Coturnix japonica: one gene and its partners. The protein of the gene in region 5 interacts with the protein of the main gene of each other region in a pairwise test. Links are inferred from orthologs where the notes say so. Each region holds a gene or a part of one and is shown on either strand. Other genes may lie near its edges. The genes, in order: CEP295, CCDC88A, SRGAP2, SH3BP5, EXOC1, TRAF3IP1 and CCSER2.

Evidence for each region.
Region 1: the proteins of EXOC1 (region 5) and CEP295 interact in a two-hybrid assay, tested with the Homo sapiens proteins (2 studies listed by BioGRID and IntAct). The link is inferred for Coturnix japonica from reciprocal best matches to the Homo sapiens genes EXOC1 and CEP295.
Region 2: the proteins of EXOC1 (region 5) and CCDC88A interact in a two-hybrid assay, tested with the Homo sapiens proteins (2 studies listed by BioGRID and IntAct). The link is inferred for Coturnix japonica from reciprocal best matches to the Homo sapiens genes EXOC1 and CCDC88A.
Region 3: the proteins of EXOC1 (region 5) and SRGAP2 interact in a two-hybrid assay, tested with the Homo sapiens proteins (2 studies listed by BioGRID and IntAct). The link is inferred for Coturnix japonica from reciprocal best matches to the Homo sapiens genes EXOC1 and SRGAP2.
Region 4: the proteins of EXOC1 (region 5) and SH3BP5 interact in a two-hybrid assay, tested with the Homo sapiens proteins (2 studies listed by BioGRID and IntAct). The link is inferred for Coturnix japonica from reciprocal best matches to the Homo sapiens genes EXOC1 and SH3BP5.
Region 6: the proteins of EXOC1 (region 5) and TRAF3IP1 interact in a two-hybrid assay, tested with the Homo sapiens proteins (2 studies listed by BioGRID and IntAct). The link is inferred for Coturnix japonica from reciprocal best matches to the Homo sapiens genes EXOC1 and TRAF3IP1.
Region 7: the proteins of EXOC1 (region 5) and CCSER2 interact in a two-hybrid assay, tested with the Homo sapiens proteins (2 studies listed by BioGRID and IntAct). The link is inferred for Coturnix japonica from reciprocal best matches to the Homo sapiens genes EXOC1 and CCSER2.

What each region holds. Positions count from the first base shown.
Region 1 is NC_029516.1:166,208,461-166,211,960, forward strand, and holds part of CEP295 (centrosomal protein of 295 kDa), read right to left. Parts: intron 2,985-3,500; coding exon 2,844-2,984; intron 1,449-2,843; coding exon 1,265-1,448; intron 448-1,264; coding exon 280-447; intron 1-279. UniProt on the Homo sapiens protein: Centriole-enriched microtubule-binding protein involved in centriole biogenesis.
Region 2 is NC_029518.1:7,440,475-7,443,974, reverse strand, and holds part of CCDC88A (girdin), read right to left. Parts: intron 2,389-3,500; coding exon 2,250-2,388; intron 1,630-2,249; coding exon 1,453-1,629; intron 913-1,452; coding exon 751-912; intron 1-750. UniProt on the Homo sapiens protein: Bifunctional modulator of guanine nucleotide-binding proteins (G proteins). Acts as a non-receptor guanine nucleotide exchange factor which binds to and activates guanine nucleotide-binding protein G(i) alpha subunits.
Region 3 is NC_029541.1:2,704,039-2,707,538, forward strand, and holds part of SRGAP2 (SLIT-ROBO Rho GTPase-activating protein 2), read left to right. Parts: intron 1-664; coding exon 665-799; intron 800-1,863; coding exon 1,864-1,969; intron 1,970-2,831; coding exon 2,832-3,056; intron 3,057-3,500. UniProt on the Homo sapiens protein: Postsynaptic RAC1 GTPase activating protein (GAP) that plays a key role in neuronal morphogenesis and migration mainly during development of the cerebral cortex. Regulates excitatory and inhibitory synapse maturation and density in cortical pyramidal neurons.
Region 4 is NC_029517.1:38,182,618-38,186,117, forward strand, and holds part of SH3BP5 (SH3 domain-binding protein 5), read left to right. Parts: intron 1-3,123; coding exon 3,124-3,254; intron 3,255-3,500. UniProt on the Homo sapiens protein: Functions as a guanine nucleotide exchange factor (GEF) with specificity for RAB11A and RAB25. Inhibits the auto- and transphosphorylation activity of BTK. Plays a negative regulatory role in BTK-related cytoplasmic signaling in B-cells.
Region 5 is NC_029519.1:58,594,265-58,597,764, reverse strand, and holds part of EXOC1 (exocyst complex component 1), read left to right. Parts: intron 1-111; coding exon 112-217; intron 218-3,500.
Region 6 is NC_029522.1:3,293,141-3,297,276, reverse strand, and holds the start of TRAF3IP1 (TRAF3-interacting protein 1), read left to right. Parts: upstream 1-1,336; 5' UTR 1,337-1,409; coding exon 1,410-1,532; intron 1,533-1,800; coding exon 1,801-1,869; intron 1,870-3,247; coding exon 3,248-3,409; intron 3,410-4,136.
Region 7 is NC_029521.1:365,817-369,848, forward strand, and holds the start of CCSER2 (serine-rich coiled-coil domain-containing protein 2), read left to right. Parts: upstream 1-1,232; 5' UTR 1,233-1,375; intron 1,376-1,685; exon of another isoform or gene 1,686-1,904; intron 1,905-4,032. UniProt on the Homo sapiens protein: Microtubule-binding protein which might play a role in microtubule bundling.

The DNA of each region.
Region 1 (3,500 bases), on a different chromosome or scaffold from region 5:
ATCTCATCATATGCAATAGTTACACAGAAAACACTATAGTAACATTATTGTTCTTGCAGCTAAAATAATTATTTGCAGTATTCTAGTGAACTGAAGTGTATTAGAAAAAGCAATTTCTACTTCAAACTTGTATGTCAGAACATTCATCATCAGTGGCGAGCATCATAAACCACTTAACTTTGACACTTCGTATACATTATGGAATTTTGGTACTTAAACATTTTAGCTTATACTAACATACAATCTCTTTTCTTCTACTACAGAACAAGAAAGCATTACTTTCTGATTCACCGGGGACCTCCTCCTTTACCATCTGTCCCGATTCTTGCTGGCCGTCACAAACAGATTCTTGCTCCAAAGAGAGATCGAGATCATTATCTTGAGATTTATCAGAAGGGGATGGCAAAGGCTGCGGTTCAAACTGCAAAATCAAGTCTCCTTTCATTTCTAATTAGAGGAACACAAACACAAAAAAGTGACCAATTAGAATAAAATACTCACAGGCTCAGTCAAGAACTTGCTGGCATAAGTACATACGTGTCTTTGACAGACAACTAGAGACAAGAGGATCCAAGGTCAGTTACTGCTGGCATTGATAATGTGTACGTGTTTGCATAGACGCTGCATCTGTGCATCAAGAGATGGAGTGAAGCAGCAGTTCATGTGTCCAGACGCCAGCTGCTGGGGAGACTAAGGAACCAGCACTAGCTGGGTAGAATGATTATTTAAAGCCACCTTACTAAGAGATCCATAGCACATGTTGAGCACAGCAGTGCATGTATGGACACTCCAGGGTAAATGGAAGGCTACAAGGTCTGTGATCAGCTACTGGACAGAATGAGTATCTAGTTTTAAGTACCAGAGTATCCATTCTGAGCTGAGAGTGCTGTAAGGTATGTGTATGCATATCTGTAAACAAGGGTGCTCAAGCACAAGAAGCTGGAGTAGGGCTGTGAGCCTCAGCACCTTCTAAGCTCAGATGCCAGCAACTGGGTAGGTCTGGGATGCAGGGATAAGATACTGGGTTGACAGTGTCTCAAAGTAACTTCTGGAGGGATCAGTACTGTGCAGATGTACTTCCCATAGGCCTCCATCCTGCTCAGACAGAGCAGGGAACAGGATGAAGCCATCTGTACTGTTTGAGAGCACACCCACCAGGAAAAAATGTGCACCCTCACTACTTGCTGTACCTGGGAACACGCAGCTGCAGCAGCCTCTCATCTGCTGGGCAGCCAGAGTCAGAATCCTCCCACAGATTACTCACTTCTGTCCTCGTTGTACATATCTTCAAAGGCAAACTCCAATTCTCTCTGCCAGTCTTCTTTCATTTCCACGCGTTTATATCCAGGTACAAAAAGTTGAGGTGGCATCTGAGCTACCATCTGCCTTCTGCGCATTTGATCCATTCTCTGCATTTGTTCAAGTTCTTTCAGTAGCCTTTCCCTGTCCTTCAAGTAAGGGGTGAGAAGCACTCGGCATTAACTTTCAGACAGCAGTGCATCAGAACTGATAAAATACTTCCATTTGGATACCGTGAAGTTAACTTGAGGTGTTTATAATTAAACTAATCTTATCCTAGGAAGCAGGTGCTTCCCTGGCAGAAGACCCTATCTGACCTTTAAACACAAGAGCGCTTCCAATGTAGAAATGCTAATTTCCCAAATATTTGTGACACTAACAGACAATACACCTCAGAATGTAGCTGTAGAGCTTTCACTTCTCAGGGGAAATGACTTCCATATTTCCAGACTTTTACAATACAAGTGTATGCCTTTCCACTGCAGAAGCAGTCCTCCTAACAGGTCACAGCTGGTGCTGCAGACAGCATCATTCAGAAGCCCCTGCAGTTGGGGGAGAGTAAGTTCATGTTATCTCCACCTCTTGCTGTACTGGGTAGCAAAAGGTCATTACACCTCTTGTCTGAATGGGATACAAAGGTGAGGAAAGTCTGAGAGAAGCACCAACCGCTGAATGAATACTTTAAGCACTATTTTCCAATGTAAAATGAACTGTAAAATGTCAGAGATGGAGGAGGACTGAAAACGAGTCTATAGATTTCAATTTTCTTCAAAGGACATTAGTGAGATTTAGGGTGGCTGACATTCTCAGAGGTGCTTTGAAAAATGATACCCATCATTCTGGACACAATTTAAAATCATTACATGCTTTCTCCTCAGTCTCACAGAGCTATAATGTAAACAAGCTTTTAAACAATGGCAGTATGAGCAGTTGATGAAATGAAGACTCAAACCACTGTTCTGCCAGTTCTGTGATTAATTACCTAAATCCTTCAAGCAGTTCACTCATGAGGCATTTCACCTCAGAAGCACCTTTATAACCAAAAAGTCAAGCACAGCAAACAGTCATCAAGTACAGAACTTGCAACTTTGTCAAGGCTCTTTTCATTCAAAGAGAAATGTGTTTTTTTCCAACACTGTCATGTATTTAAAACACAAGAATTCCATTTCTACTTCCCTCTGAACTGACACAGAGGATTCCCCTGACCTCAGCTACTATGTAAACAAACAGCAAATACTTCAGATAAAGACACTGTAATGTTATGAAGAGCTATGGCACAAGAAAAGCTGACTTGTAATGTCTACTCTGCATCCAAATATATTTCCAATTTATCTTGGTGAAAGATCACCCTATAGGCCTCCAGACAGCTCAAACAAGCAAGCTGAGTTTGATCATGTTTCAAAAGCATTCTGAAAACCCTATTAAATCCGAACATCTTCCTCTTGAAACTGCAGTTGCTCCGGCAAATACCTACCTATAGCTTACTTAACATTTGGCATTAAAAAACAGGTACTGGTATGACATTTAATGTCTGTTTTGCCTACCTGAGCCAAATGGACCTTCTTCAAGGCATGACTTCCTCTCAGATGTGCCTTCTCAAGCTGCTCTCTTCTCTCCCTCTCTGTCTCCTCGTGTAGCTCCTTCAAACGCTTCACCTCCTCTTCAGCTGCCAACCGAGCATCTGGCTGGCAGACAATTACTAGTTTAGTCCACTGAGTTCTTCTGGTACTTTAAAGAGTACTTAATATTGAGTAATTCTATAGCAAAAACACTCGGAATTTACAAAAAAAGCAGAGAATGCAATATGAACTGCCCTCAATAACTTTATAGTGTTCAGTTGCAGGCAGGACCAAACAATATTTACACATAGGAAAAAAAAAAAAAAAAAGCAAACATACACATTTTACAAGGGTTAGGTATTAAAGTATTCTAGTTTCAAACTCCACTAGAGATGATTGTTCATCCATTTTTTATCGCAGTGATTATTCTTCCTACAACATCAGGTGCAAATGAATAATACCATCAATACTACAGGTTTACTACTTGTATGCTTAAAGGTTTTATGTTAGAAAATAACCAAAATGTTTCCATTCTCATTTGAGAAACAAGAAAAAGATCTCCAAGTTTTAAGGAAGTCCATCTTTTACTTCTCCAGCTCCTTCTCTTCTTCTGATCAAACTTAGACCTGGGACTATACTGAA
Region 2 (3,500 bases), on a different chromosome or scaffold from region 5:
GCGCTAATTAGATTTCAGTGTGGTAGATGGAAAGTGCATCCGGGGTGCAACAGCAGAAGACAGAAAGATGACTCAAGGCATTCACAAAATACATTATTTGTTCACACACCTAAGGATTCCTTCACTCATTGATTTCTGCCCACTTTTCATCACTTTTCGGCATCTATCTGTGCTGAACTGCAGACTTTATATTAAATTTGTCATCAAGTAGTTTTGATTTTTAGAGCTCCAAAACATACTCAATCCATTAAGAAGCGTATTTTATTTATCAGAGGGGAAAAAAAAGCCCCAAACCATGTATTTGATAAGTAACACCTTGCTTTTTCTTTTAGGTATGATTATTTATTTATTTTTAAATTCCAGCTATAAAAATAGAATAACTTAGTAGTCTCTGTGGACACACCATCTACTTCCTTGACCTAATTTAGAATTAAAAAAGAAATAATAATAAATTAAATTATATATATATATATTAAAAGGCAGATTAAGAGAACCTACTCTACGCCTGATTATAAAGCCACAAGTTTAAATAGGAGAAACACAAGGTAATAAAAGCAACTCCTAGAAAGTTTGTTCTCCATCATCACTAAATATCATTTGATTGTGCTTAGTGCATATTATTTGCACATTCCTTTCTCTTCCATATGTACACCAGAATCAAAACATGACTTACATTGTTGCCATTAGCTTAAAAAAAAAAAACAACTCAGAATTGAATTTATTTTTAAAAAGAAAATACGAAAATATTACCTGAAGCTTTGCATTTTGGGTCTGTAGAGTTGTGTTTTGCTCCTGTAGACAGACAGTCTGCCTCTGAAGTGCAAGAATCTGAGCCTGAAGATTGTTATTCTGTGTCTCCAGCTGCTTTAATTGTGTTTTCAGTGCTTGCTTCTCTGCTTGGAGCGTAGCATTCTTTGAGCAACAACACAAAAGAAACTTTGAGTTCACAGGTTTTTATGGAACTTTAGAAACAGCACTTCCTCTAAAGCAAATAAAGCAGCGTGATTTACACTACTATGATCCTTTGTACTTTGGCAGCAAGGAAGAGATTTACAACATTCACAGATATTTACAGAGTGGAATAAAACCGTATCACCTTATATTACAAAAGTAACATACAATGATATCGCTACAGTTGAAGATTGAAATAATGGCTGTTATTTTACCAATGGAGAAACAGTAAGGAACTCTCAATGACGTGTATATAAAGATTATATGAGTGATTTGTGGGATTCAAAAGGGAAAAATTCAGATATACATTTTTTTTCCCCTTTTAAATGCCTGTCAAGTGCTTTATAGCATCACAAGACCCAGCTGTGCTAAGAAATACAACACAGATTCTGTAAATTAGGTGATAAATAGCACATTTCTTTAAGAATATCCTTATTCAAATTACTAGAACAGCTCAAGACAAACATTTCAAATGAGAACAGCAGAAAAAGCACATCTTACATTCCTTTCCACTTCAATTAATCTATCTTTAACTTTCAGTAACTCTCTAGTAGTTTCCTGGGTTTCTTTCTCCCACTTATTGACTGACTGATTTTCTTCTCCCTTTCTTGGAGGAGGATTCTGAACCATTCTTTCCTCTTCTTGTCTTTGTTTGAGAGCTTCATAGTTCTTTTTCACCTGAAATTATTTAGGACAATTTGCATTCAGTTTACAGTTTTCCATTTCCTATATCATATATTATTATACAACCGTACCACTTTCCAGAGTACAAAAAATGCTCTATATCTCTGTATTTCTGTGTACATTTGATGAGATACTGCAAAAATGATGTATGGATACTGATAGCTCAACCATAATAAGCCGACAAATATGACTACAAACCAAAAGGAGACTTTATTTTAGAGCTTTCAGTTGTATCTCTCAGCTTTCATAATGAAGTCCAACAACCAAAGAGACTATTTCTTTTTTTGATTAGCCATTCAGGCTCAAAGTAGTTCAGGAAAAGTAACTTAACAAGAATTAACTTTTTTTGGCATCCCAAGTCAAACAGACCTCAGAATATTTATCTAACTGACATATTCAATGATCTTCAACTTCTTTTCATGTGATTTCAATTCTGGACCTGTATTATTGTAGCTTTAAAAAGCAATTACACCTTTGCCCTGCTTTAGGCTACCCCAAGGTTACTCATCTTTTTTGCTGTCTTAAACAAAAATACCAAGCACAGAGTAAGAAACAACAACAGTAGCTGGAATATGATTCATTTAACCTTACGCAAAAGAAGACATTCTCCTTACTGTTTTAAGTTCCTGACGGAGCTGCTGGTTTAAATTTGTTGATTCTTCTAAACGAGCCTCCAAAGCAGCAATTTTTTCTTCTTTTATCTCAAGAGATTTCTTAAGAGTGGATTCCAATTTTGACTCCAAAAGTTTGTACCTATTCAAAAGCATGCCACCAAAAAAAACCATATATATGCTTTTATTTCAACAATTACTTCAGGTTCTTTAAATGTTCACGACATTCTGAAGCAGCAGGCTCAAGGGCAACAGATACACATAAGCAATACTCAGCCACAACAGTAGGGCACTGACTACTGGGAGAATTAGTGTGCGGGTGTGCTGACAGCACCCTCCTTTCTGGCTGCACTCCAGCAAATCCAGCAGGGACTGCAACTAAATTCAAATGTGAAGTATTTGGAGAGCAAGATTTTCATCAATTCCCATTTCCTGCCTGCTCCAATAGAGGAGGCATTAGGGATAAGAACGGTTCTTTGCAGGTGCATACTCATTTGATGCATGAGTGTGTGAATTGCTCACTCAGCCCAGCTGCTGCTATTTTAAGACTGTTACCACTCCTGACATGTGAAGAGGCCTTTGGGGTTTTCTTTTTTTGGTATATTTATAATATTGTAGGGCACCTAAAGAAACAATCACATATTTTGGAGAGAAGTGACCAGATTTAAGATATATTGCTTTATAACAGTATTTCCTGAAACTGTCAGTGCAGGATATTCTAATACATTATTAGACCTTTTAGAAAATAGGATTTTAGAAGGCTACACTCAAATCAGTTTTCAGCTGCTGTCACTGTACATGTGTTCAGAATTTGGAAGACATCCCGCTTTTGCCAGCTGTAGGATAAAATAGAAGCAGCCATAAACTCTTTCCTTCTTAATCTCAACTGCTGAAAAATAACTCAGATTGAAGAGAATTGCAAGAGACTCCTCAATTGACAACAGCATTAGATCTAATCAGGAACTGGAGCAGAAGACCAATGGGCAGAGAATTAGTAAGTAGAAAGCTGTCCAAAAACATTATATAGTAGGATGAGAATTCTAGATTCTAAGGTACAAGAAACAGGCAGTTTATGAAAAAGTAGAACTGATAGCATTTCATCTTTGCGAGCTGAAGCATGCATTCAGCTACAAATAAGTTCTATTACTAGAAAGTTATACACTTACATAGAAAAAGAAGGAAAAAGACTATTAACAGAGACTCAATCCCTGGCATCCCTTTGAATACTGAACAAGAAATGGTACAAATTTCTGT
Region 3 (3,500 bases), on a different chromosome or scaffold from region 5:
TGCAGTTTATTACTTCCACCAGAACCCTTGGTGGCAGTTAATATCAAGGATAATGCTCTGGTTCTTAGTGCCCATTTATTATCTGGTGCATTATTAAGATTATAGGCGAGCTTTGGTAATTCCAGTCACATAATGGATATAGATAGCTTCAATCTGAGGTTTGCCCCGTCATTAAATCTAATTATATACAATGGGGAGTTTTCCATAGGGAGCAACTCCTTAAGTGGGCATCTTCTCTTTTGTCACGCAGACAAACAGTGGCATATCTGCAGTGACAAATAGTTTGTCCCAGAAACACCCCCTGCAGTTCAGCACGAGGTGTGTGCTCCTGCTGAGCATGGTTATGATGCTCACTGCCCTCTTATGTGTGAACCGAATGCAGTTGGGCTTCAGTTGTGAGTTTACTGCTGAACCCATGTGATGTTGCACTCAGTAGAGGCTGTGTGAAGCTCTCACCACTCCAAGAAGCTGAGGTTTCTATTAGAAGCTTCCCTTCTTGACTGCTGCCTTCAGGGAGCTCTGCCTCGTTGCTGTTAGTGCAGCTGGGGGAGGTGGGATGAACTCTGTGCTGTGTAAATCTTTTCCTCCAGCTGAGTTGCATCCTTCCATCCTGATTGTTTTCTCCACTCTTCTGATCTTTCTTGCTTGTTTCTTTGTCACCCAGGTGAAGATCCTTTGGCCGGGGATCAGAATGACCATGACATGGATTCAATAGCAGGAGTTCTGAAGCTCTACTTCCGAGGGTTGGAGCACCCTCTCTTCCCCAAGGACATCTTTCATGATCTGATTGCCTGTGTCAGTAAGTATAGAGATAGGAATGAATAGATTGTGAAGACTGTATTGTGGATTTATCTGAGACAAAGAATAGAGCAAAATCCTCCACTTCTGGGGAAAAAAACCTGATCTTTAGGACCTCTTATCAGGAGGTGTGAGAAATGCTGTTTCAGAAACAGAAAGTGTTTCCAGCAGGGTTTCCTCCTGGTGTTAATAGATCTGCTGCCTGTGTGCTGACACTCCTGCGTGCTTTGTTCAGCAAGGCAGTAGCCTTCTGTCTTTGGCTTGGTAGCCACGAGGGGCCATCTATTGCCTCTTGCTACAGAATTCCAATCACAAGGGCAGTGGCAGTCCAGTTGCTGACATTTTTGGTTGTTTTTAAAGGTGGTGGGCAGGGGGTCGGTCTGTGTTTTGGTACTGGAGTCACCTCATGTTACACGGCCTCACTATTGCCATGTTGCTTAGAATGAAAGAATGATTCCATTGTTCTGGTGGTGAAATGGCCTTTGCAGTGGCGGCCTTTGAAGCAAAGCGAGAGATAACTGCTTCTAAAATGACTTGTGATTGTCTTCTCCTGCTAAATGCGTTTACAGAGTTGAATTCACATTACACAAGAAGAAAAAATCTGCTTCCAAATAAGCTCCCCTTTCTGGGATGATTTATGCTGCCCACTTGTTTCTCAGTAGGCTGCTGCACACAGAGCGTTTTGCCTCACCCCTTAACTATGTTAATTCTCCTTTGAGTGTTGTACGATTTCTTCTTCTGAACACCCACCTTTCTAAGCTAACTTGAATGAGCTTATTGTGCCAGAGCTATTGAAGGAGATGACATCCAGTGCTCCCACGCTAGGAAGGAGCCTGCAGTGAGGTTTTCTGTGTTTTGGGCCCATAATTGCAAAGGCATCACATGCAGGACCTGCAGCCTTTGGCAGGGAGCTGGTGAATCCAGGAAACAGGCTGACCCTTGTGATATGCTGGCTGCCTGTTTTAATATTTCACCTGGGAAGCATCCCATATACTGTCTGCATTTGGACTCGGTGGCAAGTTGGAGATGTGGTGATAACTCAGTGATTCTCTTTCTTCCTTTCAGCAATGGATAATTTGCAAGAGAGAGCTCTCCACATCCGAAAGGTGCTTCTGAACCTCCCTAAGACCACTCTGATCATAATGAGATACCTCTTTGCATTCCTCAATCAGTGAGTACCTGCTGCAGAGCCAGCCTTGATACCGCTGCAATCTGAGCAGCAATTTAAAGTGCAGGTGTCACTGGATGACTCCTGCATCTGTCGTCCTGAGCTTTTGAGCCTTGCTGACGCTCCTCCAAATGTTAATGCCATCTCAAAGGAACTCCAGCAATGGAAGTGAATAATGTTGCTGGCAAGCTAAGCAAAAAGTGATAAGGAGAGATCAGAAATTGCATCCCACACCACCAGCGAGAAGCACCGTGTACTAAATAGTGTGATTGACATTACTGTTTTTTAAAGGTGTCCATCACATCTGGTGGGTTTGTTAGGCAGCCCAATGCAATCATAGGATTCCTCAGGTTGGAAAAGACCTTAAAGATTATCAAGTTCAACCACAACTTCCTTCAGCACTGAGGATTTGACACCTGGGGTAACATGAAAAGAAAATGTCCTACCTGGGAGTTAGCACGTTTAAATACTTCCCTGCTAAAGTTGGTAGTGTTGAGTGATGCTGCTGTTCTTCATCACACTCATCTTAACAGCAGGAACGAAGAAAAAGGAGAGATTGCATCGGGATGTGTTTTAAATCTGTATAAGGTGGCTAAACTATAAACGGGGATTTGAGCAGGGCTGGGATGAAATCAATAAGGCTGTTAAAATCTCGTTGGGGTTTCTATTTCATCTTTTTGTAATGCTGTCAGTCTGTCTTTTCTTCACAAAACCCCAGAATATTCAAGTGCCAGCAAAGCAGCTTCAGCAGCAGGAAGCCCAAAGCCAGCCCTACTCGCTCATCTGTGTTCTCCAGCAGATGATGGTGGTGGTGATGATAACGTTTTCTGTTGTTAATCCTCCTCCCCACATCTGTCTCTTGCAGTTTATCTCAGTTCAGTGAAGAGAATATGATGGATCCCTACAATTTAGCCATCTGCTTTGGGCCAACGCTGATGTCTGTGCCTGAAGGTCACGACCAAGTCTCTTGCCAAGCCCACGTCAATGAATTGATCAAAACCATCATCATCCAACATGAGAACATCTTCCCAGGACCGAGAGAGCTGGAAGGTCCAACGTATAGCAGAGGTGGAAGCACTGAGGATTACTGGTATGATGGGTTCCACCGTGGGGAAAATGAATGGGTGCATGTTTGCTGGCCTGAATGCTCCAACCGTGCATTCTGCATTGTCTTAAACGGGATTCAGGCATCTAGTCCAGCCTCTGAGATTCAGTGTAATGCAAGTGAAGGTGTCTCTGGATAGTCATTAGCTTAGAAAGTCTCTCCAGTCCTGGTTTTGCATTCTCTGTGTAGAGTGGCTTTAGTTCAGAGGAAGGATCACTTGCAGCCGAACCCAGAAAGCTGTGGCACAGTCGGGTTTTCAGGGCAGCACTGATGGTGGGGGGAGGGAAAAGAGAGGAATGCAGAATCACCATTTCCATCCAGCTTAAAGCTCGAGAGGCCTGGCCGCATGTTCAGTCTGAAAGCAACATCTGGAAGCAATTCAGCCAGCGCGGCTCCTGTCATCTGCAGGGGAAGGTGGGGGAGTGGGGG
Region 4 (3,500 bases), on a different chromosome or scaffold from region 5:
GGTACCTGGAGTTGGTGGCACAGGTGGCCAGTGAAAGGAGGGATGAGGGGCAGAGATCTTTGCATTTATAATTATGTAAAGGTCATTCTTGGATATAAATGCATCCAAAAGAAAAGAGCTGACAGAATATTACCTGAAGTTTGAGACTAACTGGAGCAGAAAAGAAGATCCTGCGTGAGATCTTGCTGATTTCTAATTGCCAGAGCAATCTGCAGTCTTTTGTGAGGTATGTTCCATTGAAAAATTCTGGCAGGGAGAAGACATGTTTTGGCTCTTGATCACTAGACGTTTTAAAAAGGAAAGGGTGGGGGGGAAGGAAGGAGGGAGAAGGCTTGCTCCCTCTTGCTTTAATTTGGCTTGCAAAGCTCCTTTTGCTATTACACCATGAAGTACCATCTGTTGGTGTAAAATGCGTGGGAGCTTTCATGATGTGGAGAGAAAAGAGACTTCCTGCAGGTAGAACCACTTGGAGAAAAAGGGGGGAAGGAAGCTGTGGAATAAGCAACAGGGATACCCACAACTTTCTCTGTTCTTATCTCTCCATCTTTTCACCATGGAAGTCAAACAGTGTTTACATTCTTCCCTCTACTATCTTTATCCCTTGTGTTATTGATTCTGCCCTTCTGGTTTCCTGGTGTTGCGTTATCTGTCTTACCTCTTTTATTTCTTCTTCTAGAAGAGTCGCCCATTTAATTTTTTAGAGAAAGAAACAGATGTCCAGAGTAATTCTCTGGCTCAGATGATCAGGTTTGTTAAATCTCACTGGCAAATGTTTCTTTTGCAGCTGCTATTGCTGAAATTTGCCTGAAGTCCATCTTTGACCTCAGCTGATGAAGATTTCTTGGCTGAGAGGGACAAAGCCACTTGCGCAGACCTATTTGCTAGATATATATATTTTGTACTGACCCTCCTTTCCATGGCATCTGGGTTGGAAACAGAGGGTAGATGAGGAAAGAGGAAGTGATTGATACCTATGAGCAGGTGTCATCTTCACTCTTGTCTCTGGCTTTTTGAAGGAGATGATCTTGCATCTGTGATGGCCTTGGCAAGGTTTGTCGGTAGAAGCACTGTCTTACATTAGAAAGAAGCGTATTCAGATGGTGTGACCAAAAACTTGTTTGATGCTTTTCCCCCACACAAACTTCATCTGTCCTCTACTAAGACCTTTTTAAAAGCTGAGGGTTTTCACTGACTTGCCTAGAGTAGAACCTAGGCTGTTTCTATCCACATGTCCTGGCAGACAGATTCTATGTTAAGGCGCTGTTCTGCTTCCGTGAAGAAGCAGATGACCTTTTTGTTTCTTCTTGACTGGGTGAAAGGTTTAAATACATCCTGACAGGAGGCAGCTCTCTGTGGTGATACTGATGTGGAACAGCCTTCCAGGTGCTGTAGGATCACGTCCATGTCTTCAGCCTAGCGAACACACTGTGAGCTGTACTCCCTTGGGCAGAGCACTTGGGTAATGTGAGCAGGCTGGTAGCATGACCGTATAAGAGCCACACAGCAGGAGGAGAAGCTTGCCTCCCAATGCTGATTTCCCAGGGAGATGAAGTATGCAGCTTTTTTTTCCCTTCCAAAAAGGGTAACAAATGTGGGCGTAGATATCTGGCTGCAAATTCCGTATTTTGTCACATAGTTTGAGGTGTTTACAATCTGTCATCCCCAAATCTGTCTTGCAGGATGAAGCATTTTTATGGTGTTTGATGTGAAAGATGTGTGAAGTCCACGAGAGGCAGAACACCTCACCTGTTAGAAGACCATGGTGCTGATAGTGCTGAAGTGGTTGATCCCATGCTGATTTCACCCCAAGAATGGATGGCAAGGATTGGCATTTAATTAAGAATCAGCACGTTTCAGTTGCTCTATTATTCTGTAGCTTGCAGCATTTGTAAATTGCGGTTGCCTTGCCACACTACAAAGGAGCAAACCAGGTTTTGTGCAGTCCTTGGAGACCGCATTCTAATTTATGTCAGTTCCATGCTAAAACCAGCCTTGGCTGGCATATTTCACCAGGGAAGGTCTTTGCATCAACCTTGCTTTCTGAGACTTCAAGATGAGAGGCTATAACTTGTTTCTGGGATTCAGGGGAATGTCTGCTATCAATCAGATTTCTTTCTTATTTTTTAAACTTCAAATGTGGATGCCTTATTCACATGTGAAGCAGTTGAAGGTTGTCGTAGTATATGTGTAATCAGATCTTTTAGTTCACAGATAGCAACTTTGGTGTAATAACAAGTGGTGAGTGCAGAGGAGTAACTGTGGCCTCCAGTTTGGCAGCCGACCTTCCAGCTGATGGGGATGTAGTGCAGATTTGGCCCATGGCATTTTTCTGTGAATACTTTCAGGGTTGAAACAAGGGATGCCTGAAGACCGCCTGCTTTCTGCTTACTGTCAGACCAATGGAGAGGTGTCACCACTTCTATTCCTTTAAACAAATCAGTTCTGTCTCTTGCTAAATCCTGTCTGCCAGTGCATTAGAGAAAACAGATTTTCTGGTGCCTCAGGCAGCTCAAATCTGCAAAATGAAAGTACCGTAGACAGAATTACTGGGAAAACATGACTGTAGGATGCTGGCAGGGCAGCCAATGGGACTGCTGTGCCTTAGGCATCTGCCTGCCCTGGTTAGGGGCTGATCTTCAGCATAATGCTCCCCACCTGCATTGTAGTGGACCAGTTCATGGCCCAAAGCTTTTTTGATGTTGAAGTCACGATTTGAGGCTGGCTGTCTCTTTCAAGAGGAAAGGCAGCTTCCTTGTCTTCTGCAAAACAGGCTATAGGGGAGCTGGTGGAGTCACTGCCCCTATAGGTGCTCAAGGAAAGGATAGATATAACACTGAATAGTGTGGTATGGTGGTGATGGGTTGATGGCTGGACTAGATGATCTGAGTGGTCTTTCCAGCCTTCATGGATTCTATGACAAAGGCTGTCTCATTGGATGGGCTGCTTTCTGGTAGCTGGTGCTTCAGATAGAGGGGACAGGCTGAACTGCATGCTGTCTTCTTATCCCTCTGGTTCATCTTCAGCCCCTTCCTAATTTGAGAGATTGTAGATATAATGTTAATAAAAATGGTAAGAAATGGATGCTTGGGTCTTGCCCCTCAACCTCTGTTTTCCTTCTTACAGGTCATGGAGGCAGAACAAACCAAGACAAGAAGTGAGTTGGTTCACAAGGAGACCGCAGCCAAATACAATGCTGCCATGGGGAGGATGAAGCAGCTGGAAAAGAAGCTGAAAAGAGCCATCAATAAATCAAAGTAGGTTTCACACTTGGAGATGAGTTTAGTGGTCAAGTCTGTTCATGGGACAGGGGATTCTGTGGGATTTTGGAAACCTGTGAAAAGATGTTGTCCTTTGCAGCACAAATTGTACTAGAGAAGTTTCCTGGGTGTATTCTTAGTTGTGTTTTAGTGCACTGAAATCTTCCGTAATGAGTGACTTGAGAACGAGGCATATGGGATTAAACAGAAGAAAAAACACAACAAAACAAAACCCTGAAGCTG
Region 5 (3,500 bases):
TATTCAGTAGAACTTGCACTGTCATGCTGTTTTATTTTAAGATCTATTTAATTGTATTCGAAACAAGTAAGTATATATTCCTGTTAACTAACTTTACATTTTTCATTTAAGAATTACATGGATTATTTATCACGTCTATATGAAAGGGAAATAAAAGATTTCTTTGAAGTTGCCAAGATCAAGATGACAGGCACAACCAAAGAAGGAAAAAAGTTTGGTAAGCTTCTAGGAAGGCGTATTTCTTTCTTTGATTTTTATTATTTACTTAGAAAATACTCATTGGAACATCTTGGGGCAATTTTATAGTGGTCTAAAATTGTTTACTTTTTGCAAGGTGTAAGTTGGGTGAAAAATATGATTGATGGTATTTCTACCTTCCCAAAGGCCAAAGAATTACATTAGAATTATTGTGAAATTGGGCAAGTTGGAAGGATCTGATATTTCTCAAATTTTAAATTTACACTCAAGATTTTTATAAATTACCACTTAATTTTAGTATTGTAACCACCCTATTTTATTATTGTAAGAAATTTGGAAAATCAGCTCTTGGAGGTAGAGAAAGGCTGAGCAGCACATGTGTTTATGTATGTCTTCTGCTATTCTGCTTTTATTAAGGCTTCAGACTTAAAGCTGTTTTTAACACTGATTTTACATGAGCAAACTTGTGTGAGATTTGCTATGTAGTTAAAAACTAGATATCATACTTAATAACTTGTAGGTCTTCCTATTTGAAGGAGTATGTGTTCCTCATAAAGTAAAATGTCTAGTATGAGCATGGAAGTGAAGCTAAACTGAATAAGTAGCAACAACAGTATAGAAATACATATAAATTGTCTGTATTGTATTTTCAAATGAACGGGTTCAAAATGTTGAAGATATTCAATATGTCACAGTTTGCCTGTTTCCAAACTCTGAATTCAAAAGTGAGGTGCAGTTTGAACTAAAAAGTTATTTCAGGCCTATCTTGGGTTGTGTGGATGTTGGAAAATAGAGAAAAGTAATGAGAGTAAGGAAGTGGGATAATGGTGAGGCTTTGAGTAAGAGGGGCGGGTAGCTGGAAGGATTAGTCTTGGTGAGGTGTTGGACATGGAAGACAAGTGGTGCCTTGTCTCACTGTCAGAACAGTTAAATTCCTAAAGCCTGGAAATCTGTCTTACTGGAAGGACCGAACACTTTTATAAATAAAACCCAATATAAAGTGACTTTTAAAACATTATATCCTAGCACTTCATTTGTGATCTGTGTTTGTGATGAAATGGTTTTTGTAGCAGTTATATTCCTGATGTCTGTAAATGTTGTGGCATTTTGGAGAAAGAGGTCCTTCAATTCAGCAGTGCAAGAGCTGCACTTGAGAAGGCTTCTGTTGTGTGTATGTGCAAATTTCAAGCACATTTGAACTTTGCACAGAATAGTCTAAGAAGAAAATAGCAAAGGATATTTTTACCAGTTCTCTTGGCTTGATTTCTTTTGTAGTGTTACGTTTTCAGTCATACAAAGCTGTCTGCTTGAGTTTTGCTGGAGACTGACTCGCATAGAAAACTTGGCCCAATTGTGCAGTCCTGTGAAAACTGGTAGGCACCAATCACAAAGCCAAAACTAGAAGTGAGAACTCCCCCCAAATTCTAATGCTATATATGGAAATTGTGCCATTAAAATGGATAGATAGCAGTGGCCATTTACTTGGGGCAACAAGCTAATTTGATAATGTATTAGAACAGTAAAACTTCATTCCTCGGAACTAATGATGCTTTTATTGGTATCACTTGCAAAGATGGAAAAGCAAATTATCAGTGTTTTAAAAAGCTGTTATATGAATACGGTTTCACTTAATTTAAATATCAAGTTATGTATTTAGTTTGAAACAGCTTATAATGATGTGTAATTACAAAGCATTCCATGTGGAGATAATGATTGCAGTGTGACTGGTTGTGCATTAATTGAAAATATATCACTTCTTATTAGCAAACTTGTAAGAAAATAGTGTAGGTCTATAATGCTGCAGTTGTACTCAGACACTGAGGATGACCTGTTTCCAAGCTGTGTTGGTGTGTGTTCCTGCTTTTTTTTGGTGTGTGTGCTTTGGGAATAGCACTGCTCTTGGAATGCCTCAAACGCAGTGGGGATGCTGGGAGAATTCTGGCATTCTGTGCTAGTGCAAGGTTCTTTGTCTGCATTTTTATGGTGAAAAAAAAGAAATCCAAGTCATAAGCATTCACACTTGTCTTAAATAGTCCTTATTTTAATTAATTATTTTATTTTTGTGATGAAGCCAAGACTTTGATACCTAAATACCACAAAATCAAGTGTGGGGAAAGTGTGCTGTTATTGTCATATGTTTACATTATGTGGCTTCTCAAAAGCTAGTATGATGTCTTTGATTGTCCTGGGCCTGATCTTTGCCTATAGGTTCTTCATGTTCTGTCATATTGTCCCATGCATTTGGAAGCTGGGGACTATGAAGAAAAGGGACAAATGCATGGCATATGCATACAGTAAATATATGTAACCTACACTTCTTTATTCAAAAACTGCCCCAAGCCCGAGATTTAAAAACTAGACTGGAATTAACTTTGAGTTTAACATTAAAATTGTCAGTGGTGTTGGCTACTTGAGAACATCTGTTATTTAAGACGTTTGTTGCGTTTAGAAGTATTTTCTCATTCTGTCACAGTAGGTTCTGTTGGCTGCTCCATTTTGGGGATCCATCCTCATCAAAATATTCCTAATACCACATACTGCTTTTAGTGTATGTATGCAAATGCCTTTTACTGGTTAGGGATTCTCTTTGTACTCTACAGCTGTAAGGAAATTTTTGCAGTGCCTGTTTACTGTTAATTTCCTCTTGAATTTCACTTGAGGAAACAGTTTTATTTGGCATAAATCAGGAAAGGGAAAAAAAAACCAAAAACAAAACACTTGCAATTTTTAATACAAATACATTGTTTTCATCCTCTTCAAATTTGAAGTCATCAGTTTTTGATGCGGCATGAATACAGAGATGTATTCCCAATGTAAGCATCCTGATTTGCTGACAACCAAAGTGGTTAACTAGACCTACTACATATACAAATGGTTTTTGCAGTACTGTGTTTCTGTTCTTATTTTATTTATTTTTTTTAATTGAAGAGGTGGTAAATTATTTCTGACTCAGTATAAAACCATATAAATGCATTTAAATTTCTTTGTCCGGTATCAGTATGTTTGTTGATCTTGAAAACTGAGTCTTTTGCAATATTTACTCTTATAAATCTCTAATTCAAAGAACTTCTCAATTTGGGAGAACTTGATACACTGTATAGGAAAAAGTTCAATAAATAAAGTGTACTGTTTTCCACGTAGCTTAGATTCTCTCAATTTGTAGGATAATACCTCTCCAACTAAATGTGTTTGCCATGTAGTTACTTGCTGCTTATAGTTCTTTGCATGTTTCTTTCCAGTTAGAGCTTAACTTGCATCTTGTGCATGGTTTGTGCAAACTGCATTTTAACTTGTCTTTGTCT
Region 6 (4,136 bases), on a different chromosome or scaffold from region 5:
CTGGTGACTCAGAATAATTGCCCATTATCCCTTTTGTGTGTGGCAGTTTGATGATAAGCTTAATTTTGTATAGCTATAGGTCACAACTGGTGATGGGCCTTTCCTCTGCCATTTCTCTTAGCTGAAGACAGGCCATAGTAAGAGGCTGTATTCAGGTGTGGCTGTTCATTTCCACCTCTGGAATAAGGCTGTTGTGGTCCTCCTTTTTATAGAGGTGGTAGTGGGTTTGGGTGTCCACCTTCAGTTCTTGTTTCAAAACAAGTACTCTGCAGTAATACCCAGTTAGAGTTTCTCTGCCTAAGGTATTCTTGGACATCTGAGTATAACCTGTGTAACCCAATGAAAATCATAGGAGAAAGAGGATGTTCCCAAGCACACGGTGTCAGGACTTCTCTCCTGAGCACAACACTGCTCTTAGCCACGCTAGAAATCCTGCCTGTGAAAGGCAGCTTTGGGCTCCTGCTTCTGCCTGGTAACACAAAGGCACACAGCCACTGAATTCAGACTTTAAGTGGGCACAACTTTGAAGAGACAGACAGGGTGCTTTCTGTTGTCAACATGCATGTATATTCCCCAGCAGAAGAGTCTCCAGACTAAACCTCAAGCAATCTGTTACAGTGTTAGGATACCTTTTAAATTGCTGTGCCTCCCCTTAGTACCACGGGGACTCATGGAGTCTTAGTGAGTTCCTTGCTTTTGATTCCTCAATTAACTGAGCTGTGCTTCCTTGGGGCACTGCCTCTTCAGCAAATTGAGCATGCCAAAGGTCAAGCTGAACTAAACCCCCACGATTCATTCTCAGGCATTACAGACACTTTCATAGAGCTGGTGGCAGAAATCCAGATCAACCATATGATTCCAACATAAACAACCCTCTTCCCTAGAGCAGCTTCTTCCCAGTCTGTTTCCTCTGAGACCTCTTGGATGTAGAAGCTGTCAACACCTTTTCTTCTTCCTAGGATTACAGGATCCTGTAGTCACAGCCTGTCTGGGAACCTCATTAATTTCCGAGTGTGTCAGTCTGTTGTACTTTATTTAAAGAACAATGACTAAAAATTAATAATCACCAAAAGACATATTAACTGAGCACCGGTGCTTCACTGTTTGATAGTTATTAATACAACCACTGCATTTGACAGGTTGTATGGGATTAGATACTTCTCCTATATGTATATATATATCTGCAGTGCATTGACCCAAGTGCAACACCTCACACTCGGCCTTGTTGACCCTGGTTATATTCACATAACGTAGGCAGGGCCTAAGATGGCGGCGGTGCCTGTTGCTATGGCTGCGCGGTGCTTAGCAACCGCGTGCTGCGGCTCCGAGCATGCGCAGTGAGGCGCGTTGCGCCGCGGGGCAGGCTGGGAACGCTGAGAGCCGGCGGCGGCGCCGTCCCCGCCGTCGCAATGAACGAGGCGGTGGTACGACGGACACAGGAGAGTCTGGGGCGAGTGATCCGCAAACCGCCCTTGACGGAGCGGCTGCTGAGTAAGCCGCCATTCCGATACCTGCACGACGTCATCACCGAGGTGGGCCTCCCCGCCGGCGGGGCTCGGAGAGTCGGCGCCCCCTGAGCAGGGCGCCCCCTGGCGGCTGGGGGTGTAACCCCGCCTGGGGGGGGCACGGAGGGGCGTGGGGTCCCGGCTCGTGTTGTGTGACGCGCCGTGCTGGAAGGCAGCAGCCTTCTGCTCTAATATAGTTATCATTAATGATAAGGCCACGGTCTAGTGCCGCCTAATGCTGTTCTGTAGGAGCTTCGAGTGCCCTTAACTCGATCCTTTTCCTTGTCTTCTCAAGGTGATTAGAGTGACGGGCTTCATGAAAGGGCTTTACACGGATTTTGAATTGAAGTCAGATAATGTCAAGGTGGGTACGAAGCTTCCTTGTTTATTCAGCCTGAATAAAAACGGGCTCTGAGACGTGCTGCAAGGCACCTGCGGTCTTTGAGGTCCCTTCCAACCCGGGTAATTCTGTGATTCTGTGTGTGATTCTTTCCTGTGTTCAGCTTCCATTGCTTTATTCAGGCATGGTGTAGAAACAGTGGGAGGTATGGTGGGCTTTCTTTGGATATGTTGAGGTGTATCAGAATGTTCTGAGTTGGAAGGGACCCCAAAGCCCAAACCCTGCCATAGGCCACCTCCCACAGAACACATTGCCCCAGTGCCCCGTCCAACCTGGCTTTGAGCACTGCCCTTCTCCAGGCAGCCTCACTGTTTCCTCCTAACATCTAACCTAGATTTCCCCTCTTTTAGTTTAAAGCCATTCCCCATTGTCCTGTCACTATCAGACTGTGTGTGAAGCTGGTCTCCCTGCTGTTTATAAGCTCCCCTCAAGTAACAGAACACTGCTTGAGTGTTTCTCTGGATCCATATATATATATATATGCACTTTATACACGCATACAGAAGATATTATTGCTTAATAATGCATCTTGTTATGCGTGTTCTACAACAGTCTTATTACCATTATTACAGCCATTATGAAAGTCTGATTACTGAAAGTAATGCTATTAGTGAAAATGCTTTTCTTAAGTGCGAGGGTGACTCAAGTCTGTGTTTGCTCACCTTCTAGTGCTTGCCTCTTTTGCTAAGCAATGCATGCTGCCTTCTCCCAATACCAGCTAGGCTCAAAACTCGTCACTTACTCATGGCAGATAATGCATGTTGTGTGTTGCTAGTTAAACAGCTACAGCCATTGGTGATTGTTTAACATAGCAACTAAAGCTACTGGCTCGCCTATAGCTAGTTAAATGGGTGGTTTATTCACTTCCTAGGGCTGATAATTGGTTCCGTGAAAAGTAGCTTAGTACATGGTTAATTCTCTTTTTGGAGACCACTGTCCATTTTATTTGTGGATCCAAAAAGCAGATTTCGTAGGCGGGAATTATCTGTAAACTGCATCAAACTGACAGAGCGTGCAGCTGGATGGATCTCAGTGAGTTGTGTTTCCTGTCAGCTTTATATGATGTGTATGTAAACCAGGTTGGATGGGACCCTGGGCAACCTGGTCTAGTACCAGATCTGGAGGTTGGTGGCCCTGCCTGTGGCAGGGGGTTGGAACTTGATGATCCTTGAGATCCCTTCCAATCTGAGGCATCTTATGATTCTGTGATTCCATGAGTCTATGATTATGTGCTTAATAGAATGTTGTGCAGCTGATTCCTCCTGTCAGAGGTTTCCTAACCTTGAGGTGGTGTACGGAGTTATTATAGGATCTCACAGCTATTTCTGAATTGTTTTTCTAGGATAAAGATGCCAAAATCAGCTTCCTTCAGAAGGCCATCGATGCTGTGGTAATGGTGACAGGAGAGCCACTGTCAGTAAAACCAGCACGTGTTGTGGCTGGGCACGAACCTGAGAAAACAAATGAGTTTCTGCAAGCCATTGGGAAGTGTTGCTTAAAAAAGGTATGACATCTCCATCTACATCATTACAGAGATATGTATTTGTGTTATACATTATCAGAGCTCATTTGTGGCAGAGTTTGACACTCATTAGCTACTTTTAATTACAGAAGATATACTGTGTTGGGTTACCACTATAATAACAGATGTATAGAATGTGATCCTAAGCAGAGTTTGAGCCAGGTCCCCATACAAATACATTCTAGATATCCATCTAAAAACCTGTGAAGTGATGAGTGAGAAGAAACTGCTCCTTGAACAGCAAAATACTACAGTATTCACAAGCTGTGTGAAGGTTTTGTCTGGGTAATCTTTGTCTGATGATCTGATAGTTTACACTGCTATTATTTCCCTTCAGTTAACTGAATGAGACAGACTTCTTCCTTGTTAATTGCTTGAGATTGGCAGGGAGGAGGTGAAATGGGCTGAGTTTGATGGTACAGCTTTGTACAGCGTCGTGATGAGATGTAATAACCAAAGGCTGATGTCTGTCCATTCGAGCCAAGATTATTAGCCCTTTGTCTTTACTGTGAAACATAAGCTGGATGTGCACTGTGGAAAAGGTTTGGATTCTAACTAGCTTTATATCTAGTGTTGCTACAGTAGATAAAAAGCACCACCTGTTTATATAAGCCTAGTATGCATGATCAAATTATTGCAAGAGTTACAAAGAGGTGTTTGATTTAGAAGAGCAGAAATATAAGGTGCGTCTCAAAAGAAATAGAAAATC
Region 7 (4,032 bases), on a different chromosome or scaffold from region 5:
AAGTGGATGAAATGAGCTTCTAGTCCATCTCCCAGCACAATAACATCCATTTAAATCAATTTAGTGTAAAATCAATTGAACAGAACGTCCTCAAGATGGAGACACATCAAATATTAAAATGATACGGAAAGATAGCGCACTCGATCATGGCCAGATCTTAGCCTGTAGTCTGACACTAGGACTGTCAAGACTGTCCTCTTACTTAGGCAGTCAGAAGTTCAAGCTGTACAAGTAATGTGTCCCTTTCTGAAGTTATTCATCACAGCTATGAGTTTTGCATCTTAATTGTTAGGCTACACGAGCACTGTGGCAATTTGTTAGATGTCTGAACACATAGTAGAGGTTCTCAACTCTAGGCTGGGCTATCTTTCTTTTCATATATATACATATACCACCACTTACAGGTCAGCAGACAGTGTATGTGCCTCCCCTGTGCTGGTATAAGTGTTCATGGTCCTCTGGTCTGGCAGAAAAGGGTATTTACAGTGCTGAGGATGAAGACATTACTTGCCAGCACCTGAGAAAAGCAGTGGGAATTTAAGAACACCCTAGTCAGCCTGTGATATAATTTATCTTAATTTTGGGAAGGAAATTGAGAAGTTGGAAGGAAATTTCAGTGGTCATTTCGTACAAAGCAGGAACAAGTCAAATCTGTGCTAATGCTGTTGATGTTGATGTTAGTGCTCAGAAGCTGAGAATGACTGAAAGAGGATGACTGTGCGGTTAAAGCAAGGCCGCCTGACTCAGGAAATCTGAGCTCATTTCCTGGCTTTGCTATCTCTTTAGCTTTGCGCAAGAGATTTAATCTCTCCACTTAGGACTTTTTTTTTTTTTCTTTCTTTCTTTCTTCCTGTACCATAGGGGAACAATTACGCTTCAAGTTATTCTAAGAATAAATCCATTAATGCGACGGGTACATTCAAGTTCAGGCGAGAAGACATACAAAGCCTTTGGCTGTTGCTCCTTATTTTAAAGAAGGCCTTTATTCTGCCTAGGGGGCAGATGTATCAGGGTTCTCACAGGGCCGCACGGTCTACATGCTGGGCTACCTGCAGGCCTATCTGCCTAAGCTCTGACATGCAGCCTGTTGTTCTACCTGCCTAATGGCCCCGTTACGGGGCAGAGCGATGCGCACATCGCACACACCGACGGGAGCGGGCGGGGCTGGAGGGCTGGGCTCGCACCGCCCGCCGTGACGCCGGGTGGGCCGGGGGATGAGGAAGGGAGGCGGCGGGCATGCGTGGAAAGGGCTGAGCGCTCCGGCCCTCCCTCCTCGGGGCCGCCGGGCGGGGCGTTTTGCGGCCGCTACCTGGGTGCGTGGAGCGGCGCGGCTCGGATCGAGGACGGGGCGGCTCCGGCTGTGCCCGGCACGGCGGTGAGTGCCGTGTCCGTCCGTGGCGCTGCGCTGCTGAGCGACCCTCGGAGTCCCTCGGCTGGGGGCGGTGGGTGGCGGCAGGAGGGGGCTGCGGCATCGCCGGCTCCGCAGGCCGTGCGGCTGGAGGCAGGGAGGGGCGGGGAGGGCTCTCCTTGCGGGCTCAGCCGCACCCTCGGGGACGCTGCGTGCCCCAGGTTTGTGCGGGGGGCAGGTAGGAAGCGGCTTTAGGCAAAAAGAACCCGGCGCACGGCTGTTTGAATACAGCAATTAAAAGCAACGCTGAGATGTTCTTCTCCGTGATGTATTTCAGCTGTACCGCGGCTCAGATTTTCCTTGAGCCGTCCGGAGCACGTTAGGCGTGTTGCGCGGTGACACAGCTTTGCTTGCATCACCGTGCCGCTGCCTGCACTTTGACACGCCATGAGCCGCCGGCAGCCGCAGCCCTCAGCTCGCAGCACATCGGCTGCACCGCGAGGGGTGCGTGGGAGCTCGGTGCTGTAGTGCGATCCAGGCCGTACAGCGGTTTGAGGTGAGGACGGGAGCTGTGTTATGCCGGTGCGGGGAGCGGGTTTGTTTCTGTTGTACGTGGGCCTCCAGCCTTGATTTGATGCAGAACAGGAAGTTCTGGCGTTATCACGGTGCTGGAAACACATTGAGATGGCATCCAAGGTCCCTTTTGTTGTGTTTTTATAACGGGGAACGCTAGAGGAATTTCTTGAAACTTGGAAAATATGTTTTCTGTACAGGGTTAGAAGTTGGAAATGCTTCATCATGTTAGTGTGACGCAGTGAGTATTTAATCCTGTTTAGTCATACTGAATGAAACTGACAGTTTCTCAAGCATTTATAGGCTCGCATACCCCTAAATGGTATGGGCCCACCTAGAATGTAATACTTCCAAGCTGAAGAGGTGTCACCAAGCAGATGGTAAGCTGGGATCTGTGTCAGCATACAGCTTGCAGCAGCTACAATGTAAGTTTAATCTTTGCTCATAGTCAACACCTTTCAGAATAGCGATCTCTATGTCTGCGCTCCAGAAATGGCTGAGTGGTGTCTTTAATCATAAGGCTGCTTTAAAAAGTAGGAATGTTTAGGGTTTTGGAGGGTTCTACAGTTACTTTTTGTGCATCATGACACCTTGTGTTTCTGAATTTAATAATTAATATGTATGACTATATGAAACATGAATAGTAATGACCACAATTAACATGATGGTCTCAATTAACATGGTGTTATACTAAGAAGTAATCCTGTTTAATGGAACTGCTCGTGTAAAAGCTTGCTGGAGTAAAACCTATTAGTTTTGGACCTGATCATCCTTTAAGATGGATTGGTTATTTGGAGTAAACCAGTTGCAAAGAAGAGCTGGCACAGGCATTTCTCTACATAAAGTCATCACACCTTCGGTCGTCAAAAGAACATTGTTTGTCTGCAGTTGTTAAAGAATGTAGGTCTGTGGGAATGGAGGAGACAAGAGGGAGCGAAAGGTTACAGCTGTGGCTGTGGTGTTTCCTTTTTGCCACTGTTGTGAATTGTAAACTGCCATCGCCTTAATTAGAAGCTTTCAAGCAGGATTAAATTCTTTGCCAACAAGGATGCTAACAAGATGAAAATACTAATGGTGGTTTTGATAATTAGGTTTAAAATCCTGTATTGTGATTCAATTGAAGCAATACAGAGGCTTATGTAAATCTCTGTATAACTGAACGTGTGTATGTTAAAATGAAATCAGAACAGCATTAAAGTAATTATTCCAAAGGTGAAGCCTTAGTCAGTGTAGGTCTCTGTATTTCTTCTTACCTCTGGGACACATATTGAATCTCAATTCAGAACTTCTGTCAAATTAGATGCAGTTTTGAGGATGCTCAGATCCTACCATTCTTAGCTTAAAGCAGCTTGATTCACAGAGCTGGGTTTTACTTTCTAGCTATTTTCCCTCTGTTCTGAAGGGGGGGATTCAGCTGGAACTCTTCTATTGACAGTACTGTATAGTGAGACAAGAATCCTGGGGCTGGGGGGTGTGTTTCTCTGGTTATGTGGGGAACTGGTGACACAAGTTCTCAGTGAAATGCCTTTTTCACAGCACAGTTTGTTGGGATTTTCATGTGCTCTTAGTCCATGATGATTTGAGGTAGTGTTCTGCAGAGTGCATTTTAATGGCTTTGATTGAAGAGGAAGCATGGCTACTGCTGGCAGTGTTTGCTCTGCTTGCATTGCCTTAGTTTTCTAGCCAGAGGAAAACAGCTGGTGAGATTTTACTTTAATGTGGTGGTTGAACAAGTTTGGGGTCTGGAAGAACCCTTTAATTGCAAACAATTTCTGACTTGCAAAAGAACTCCTATGTTTTAGGCTTCGTTGGCCCAGATGGCTTGTGGCACACTCAGCATAAGTTAAGCTGAACATCATGGGAGTGTGTCCCTGAGTATCCTGGGTTCTCTTGGCTCAGAAATACCACGTGTGGTTTGGGCTCTGTATAGATAGAAAGATTCCCAATAGACTATGAATTTGTGTGATACTTGGTTTCAGTTTGTGAATCATATTAATGATAGAAATACATGTAAGAAAAACTAGACTTTACATAGTAATACTATTACATAGGCTTGTTAATCAGTGTTTTTTGATGAGTTGAGTTCTTGCTTCCAGCTAACATGCATCTCA